Linked DNA regions of Arabidopsis thaliana. The protein of the gene in region 2 interacts with the protein of the main gene of each other region in a pairwise test. Each region holds a gene or a part of one and is shown on either strand. Other genes may lie near its edges.

What was found. The genes of interacting proteins can lie anywhere in the genome.
Region 1: the proteins of AGP26 (region 2) and AT1G10090 interact in a protein complementation assay, tested with the Arabidopsis thaliana proteins (one large-scale study listed by BioGRID).

Annotation. Positions count from the first base shown.
Region 1 is NC_003070.9:3,294,343-3,298,098, forward strand, and holds the start of AT1G10090 (Early-responsive to dehydration stress protein (ERD4)), read right to left. Parts: upstream 1,857-3,756; 5' UTR 1,606-1,856; intron 1,039-1,605; 5' UTR 930-1,038; coding exon 649-929; intron 481-648; coding exon 334-480; intron 184-333; coding exon 120-183; intron 1-119. Other genes in the region: AT1G10095 (Protein prenylyltransferase superfamily protein), read right to left, coding at 3,136-3,255, 3,414-3,650. UniProt on the Arabidopsis thaliana protein: Acts as an osmosensitive calcium-permeable cation channel.
Region 2 is NC_003071.7:19,616,343-19,619,189, reverse strand, and holds AGP26 (arabinogalactan protein 26), read left to right. Parts: upstream 1-1,560; coding exon 1,561-1,971; 3' UTR 1,972-2,215; downstream 2,216-2,847. Other genes in the region: DEG2 (DEGP protease 2), read left to right, coding at 1-82, 186-210, 292-363, 462-818; AT2G47935 (uncharacterized protein), read right to left, coding at 972-1,135, 1,469-1,601, 1,641-1,940; NET3C (Kinase interacting (KIP1-like) family protein), read right to left, coding at 2,429-2,847. UniProt on the Arabidopsis thaliana protein: Proteoglycan that seems to be implicated in diverse developmental roles such as differentiation, cell-cell recognition, embryogenesis and programmed cell death.

The DNA.
Region 1 (3,756 bases), on a different chromosome or scaffold from region 2:
CAGTGGTGAAACACGTATAAACAGGGTGAGAGAGAGAGACGAGAGACCAAAACGATGAGGAAGTGATGGAATAAAGAGAAACAGTAAGCGTGAAATGAACCAAGGTATAAGATCCTCACAAAGTAAAGAAGAGCACATGCTGCAGAGGATATGATGTACAATGAGAGACAATGAACCCAGAGCCTGGAAATAAAAATAGTAAAACAAGGATCAGCACTTCATTGTACAAAATACTGGCAATCTATCTTCTCCTGCACAGAGAAACATAATCAGATAGAAAAACAGGCTATGCATATTATCTGATAATATTAATATTATATGCCGCCACTTTACCATCGTGAGCGTGGATTAAGGTTCTCAATTGTGAATACTCCCAATGACTCCAAATGGACTTCCTTGTGCTCCATCTTTTGTCCATAATAGTTAACAGGTAACACAAAGGCAAGGCAAACGACTGCGACGATTGAGAAAATACGAATGCTGCAGAGTTTAAAAAAAACACGATAACCCAACTGTGAGAGTTGTTAAGAACGAAACACACAAATACCACATAGAAATAAAACAAGTGCTGGAACATAGAAACAGTAGAAAATACCATGCTTGTCTATTCAATTACAGTAAGCATGTTATAGGTGAAGTATCATTAACCTGCAAATGACCATCCTGATGAAAACCACAGCATCCAGACCAGCAGCAGCCAACATCTCTTCCTCAGTGGTTTCCCAAGCTTTCACGAGCCAACTAGGAGAGGGCGCGAACCTCTCATACCAACGAGGATCATGACGTTTAACTCTTCCGTCAGAAAGCAATCGACCAAAGTAAACACAATAATTGGCTGGCTGCTTTCGTAGAATGGAATAAAGCGATACAAGCACTACGCATATCGCTATATTAATCCCAGCAGACGTTAAAAGTGCTGAGACATCCATCTCACTATCTCACTTTTAGTTCAAACCCTGCCTTAACAGGGTTGGCTAATCAAGCCCAGGCTGATGGCTGTTTAACAATTCACAGCAGAAACTTAGGTCGTCAAAAGATCTGTAAGGAAAAGCAAGAAATAATCTAGGATAAGAGATATGGCCATGAAGCATGTGGTAACATTGAAACATGAATTGTGGTTACTCTAACAAGTAAGGACTGATCTCAAAAGTTGCATAAGTAACGTACTTGCCACTTGATCAGTTGTAAAACAGCGATTACTTAGACAAGGGATGAAAAAACTAAAAACCTAAAACTTTCCATGTTCGGAACAACCAAAGATACGGGATCAAAATATAATCAACTCTTAAAAGTTGTGGCTGATGATAAGATAATGTAACTCAATCGTCATTTATGATTGAACTAAAACGACCCACGATTCCATAGAACCTAAGAAAACCAGAACACCAAAAACAGAGGAATCAAAGGATTTGATTCGCGAAGAGAACTCACTACGACAATGGAAACAAGAAAGCGAGCGAAACCAAAGCCCAGATTATGAAATTCGATCAAAATCGAAGAGGAGATTGAGGAGAATCAACAAACAACGAGATCGTAGATAATTCGAACAAAAAATTTACCCACAAAAGAAAAGACAAAACAATAATTTGAACAATTCTGACTTACATGGACGAGAAAAGGTAATGCTTTGCTTTGACTTGAAAGGAATCAAAGCACGAGAAAACCCGAAGAATCAAAAACCCTAAAAGTTCTTCCTTTTAACCCCAATTCCGCGGAGAATTCGCTCGCGTTCTAAACTTTGCAATATGCAAAAAATCCAACAAAATTAAAGAAAGATAATGATTGATTAGGTATACTGTATACACATTACATGTTATTATTTTGGTGAGGATATTTCTCTAGACGGAAAGATAACTGAAAAAAATCATTGGGCAAAATTCTCCACGTTGGTGTAAATGTGGAATCGCCAGATCATGTGACGTGGCATAACGTGAATGGCCCAAACTAATATCTCGTCGGCAAAGGTCTTTTTAGCCTGTGATAGTGACTACCTTGTCGGCGAAATTATGACCGTTAGATTTTTGTAAAGCGATACGATTGTGACACGTGGAATTAACATTGACAGTTAACAACAGTTTTTGCCCGGGAAAATTAAAAAAGGTCGCATATCTATTATCCGCGTGGTGAGAGTGTGAGACCTACCCCATAACAAGGACCGGTCATATTAAATTATGCCCATTTGACTATTCATTCTCTTTATTATGTATGACTATATAATAACTCGATTCTCTTTATTAGGTGTGACTATGAATTATGATACATGCTTTATGATGCGGTATGCATATAACTGGTTTAGCATCTTTACATAATTATCGGTTTGATATTCCCAACGGTCAGTATCTTTATTCAAAGCTCATAAGAAATAGGTAAAAGAGTGATAGGTTTCCTCTTTCCAGTTTATTTGTGAGATTACTTGCTTATAAAGCAAATAAGCCTCTCTGTATATTCATCAACAAGGACTAGTCTGCAATCACAAGTAAAAACAACGCTGCTCGAGGACGGAATCGCTGCCCCACGATGTGGTAGAGTGCATCCTAGAGAGACTTGCTGTGGATTCTCTGCTGAGATTCAAAGGCCGTGTCTAAACAATGGAAATCAATTATCGAATCTCCATTCTTCCAACAAAGACAGTTGACAGAGCGTCAGCAATCAGGTGATCCAGATGTTCTCATGGTCTCCATATGGCGTTCCCTTTGATAGCTGTGACGGTCTCGTTTGTCTCATGGTCTCCATATGGCGTGACGATTATTGTAAACCGGATATAAAACATCTAACTACACTGGTGTTGGGTTCCTCATCATCGGTCAAGATCCCTACTCCTTGGGAGAAGGCGAAGGAGGACACAATATACTTAGTTCCCTTTGATAGCTGTGACGGTCTCGTTTGTCTCTACGGAATACGACATATCTGGTTTTGGAAGCTTATATAACCTTCATTCATTTTTTTAATAGGTTTGGTTACACCACTCGAAGACTCGTGTAACACTTGATGACAGAGATTTCTCGGCCAACTTCTTCATTAATCAACTCATTAAGCTATATCGGCGAAAATAGAAAAAAAAAAAAAAAAAAAAAAAAAAAAAAACAATTCAAACAGATCCTGAGACATGGTTTGACACCAATTTATGGAGGGTCTTCAGACATTCACCAAATGATGCAGAAGCGAGGGTCTCTCTTGAGCAATTGTGTTCAGTACACACTTCACTTTCTCTGTTCCAAGCTTCTCCTCGAGCATTCTCCACAGTACTGGAATGCTCTGCTTATAAACGAATGCATATCAGAAATCAAAGTCAACCATATTTCTATCGTTCTGCTATACGGAAAACTCCCAATCTATTTTTCTGCACTTGTGAGATTGACAATAGTGGCAATTTTTTTGATGACTTTATTTGGACAAGAAGAGACCACTGTTACCTTTGTCAGCCATAGCGTGTAGACAGCAGCATGCAATGCTTGAGCTTGAAAATCTTCAAATTTGGTATCCGGAACGGTCATAGAAGAATCTAGAAGACGGATCTCATTATCAATGAAGATGGCAATTTCTTCATTCATAATAATACTCTCTCCGGTTTCAGGTGAAGCATCTGAATGATTGCAAGCGAAATACATTATCCAATTAAGAGAGAGGAACCGCCGGTGAAGCCATAGTGCCTGGAAGAAAAAAGTATAACAACTCAAATAAGTCACTAATTCAATCATCTCTGTATTAGCATGACAACAAACTGTTTAACTATCTTTGTTGTCCAAACCACTGTCG
Region 2 (2,847 bases):
CGTACCATATTGATGGAGGTCAGCCATCATACATTATAGTTGCTGGTTTGGTGTTTACTCCGCTCTCAGAACCCCTGATAGAGTATGTTCTTCTCGGCTTGCTAAGATGCAAAAGTAAACCGAAACCTTCTTCATTATTTCCCAAATGCCTAACTGTTTCCTCCTTTTTTTAAATGTATAACCAGGGAGGAGTGTGAGGATACCATAGGCGTAAGCTCACTCTACTAAACTGTCTCTTAGTTTAATTTGTGAATCCACTATAACAGTTTAGTTTTTCCTTCCGATTTGCAGTTGAAATTGTTAACAAAGGCACGCTACTCTGTGGCAAGGTTCAGAGGAGAACAAATCGTCATCCTATCACAGGTAATCCCTCGGAGGATAATGAGTTCTTAATTCAATGTGCATTTTGGTGAGTGCAACAATAATTTAATAACTAACTCACTCGACGAGCATATCTATAGGTATTGGCAAATGAAGTAAACATCGGCTATGAGGACATGAATAACCAGCAGGTCCTGAAGTTCAATGGAATTCCAATAAGAAACATCCATCACTTGGCACATCTCATTGATATGTGCAAAGATAAGTATCTAGTTTTTGAGTTCGAAGACAACTATGTTGCTGTGTTGGAGAGGGAAGCTTCAAATTCTGCTTCCTTGTGCATCCTCAAAGATTATGGAATTCCCTCGGAAAGATCCGCTGATCTGCTCGAGCCATATGTTGATCCAATAGATGACACCCAAGCGCTTGACCAAGGTATTGGAGACAGCCCTGTGTCAAATCTGGAAATCGGCTTTGATGGACTGGTGTGGGCATAAAATATTCGAAAAGGCGTCCGCAGATGGAAACCACTGAAAGCTCATACAGCTTCCCCGAACATATGGGAAAGCTTTCAGCTTCATCCTCATTCATAAGGTCTTGTGCTGCTCAAACTCAAAGTTTAGTGAATTCTTTCTTCTTTATTCAAACCTCTATGGATTGAGTTTAATAGAAAGTTGGCCATGAGAATGCTCGGCCATTGTGTTCAGATGAATGTATACTGCTAAAAGCATTGCCAGAATCTCGACAAAAGTCAACAAATTATTCAGTGTCTGATTTTCTATGAGAAAATGAAATGCAGCAATGTCTTCTGTGACTGTAATATATATATATATATATATATATATATATATATATATCAGTGAATCGGTGCTTCCTTTTTACCAATTCTATTGTCTTCATCAACTGACAATAAACCTAAGATTGTTGCAGATCAGGAAAAAGCATAGCAAGTTAAAAGCTGGCACTCATTTCTATATTTGAGGGAAGAGCTTCACGGGACTCTACTTTGCTTTTTTAATAACTTTTTATTCACAAAATCAAAACATACAAACACTCCGACACAAATCAAAACCCGACAAATCCATATTTCATGTGCTCTGCCCTAAGCCAGAGGTCCACAACCAAACCCACCAATCTTGTCTTTTACCTCCTCTATAGCTGTATACCTTTTTCTTCTTCAGTTTCTTAAGGTCTCTCAGAAACATTCTCAGAGAAGCAGGAGAGACATTCACAGTAACCATGTCCGTCTCTCTGTTCACTGCCTTCACCGTTCTCTCACTCTGTTTACACACTTCAACATCTGAGTTTCAGCTGTCCACCATATCAGCTGCACCTTCGTTCTTGCCTGAAGCTCCATCGAGTTTCTCAGCTTCTACCCCGGCCATGTCTCCAGATACCTCTCCCCTGTTCCCTACTCCAGGTTCAAGCGAAATGTCTCCTTCCCCGTCGGAATCGTCTATCATGCCGACAATCCCCTCAAGCCTTAGTCCACCAAACCCAGATGCTGTCACTCCTGATCCTCTGCTCGAAGTTTCTCCAGTTGGATCTCCTCTTCCAGCTTCTTCCTCTGTTTGTTTGGTCTCATCACAACTCTCATCTCTGCTTCTTGTCCTACTCATGTTGCTACTAGCTTTCTGCAGTTTCTTCTAGTAATCATATAGAAACAGCGAGTAAGCAGCACTCTACACAATATCATCAGCAGAAACCAAATATTCACAAATGTATTCTTTCTTACTCTCTGCTTCTTCTGAATTTTTTTCATGTAATATTAATATAGCTTCTTCTAGTGTTCGTTCGTGTGAGATTTGCTCATAAAGCACTCTGCAGTTTGGGCTAGTGCGCAGTTGTTGTACTTGGTAGCAGTGATAGTGTGTGTTTTTTGTGCCTCAAAGTCAAAATTGATTGATCATCCAATTATGTATCACTCATCACATGTCCTTGTCTGAAACTGGGTTCTTGTGATTGAACAAATCAGAACAGCATGCATTATTAAGTAGGATAATTACCGGTTATAATACAGCACGGAAAGGACAGGATATATCTTGATAAACAGTGAAATGAACCACAGAAAATATCGAAGCTAAGCTCATGAGGTAGATGAGCCAACCTAAAGGACCTTGTTGCCATCGCACATAATGTAAAACAGCTTCCCAAAGAACTTGTTTAGTGGCTTGAACTCCAAAACGGTGCGTTGCTTGAGAGAATGGTGGGCAAGGCGTCTCTTGAGGCTCAAGTTCTCGTCTTTGAGGGTCTCAAGGGTTAGAGAAAGCTGTCTGATGACCTCTCTCTTCTCTTCGTCCTTGTCTAAGAGCTGTTTCCTCAGAGCATCAGTCTCTTCGATCAGCTTCAACCTTTCTTGTTCCAATTGCCAAGTCTCATCTTCTTTGCAATCAGCTGCGGAGGCATCATCTTGAAGGGGGTCTTCAATCTCAGAATCGGCATCTTCAAAGTGAGAATTGCTGTCACAAACGGACTCCATGGATTGTTGGGGAACCTTAGCGGAGCGAGATCCATAGTGGTCGGAAG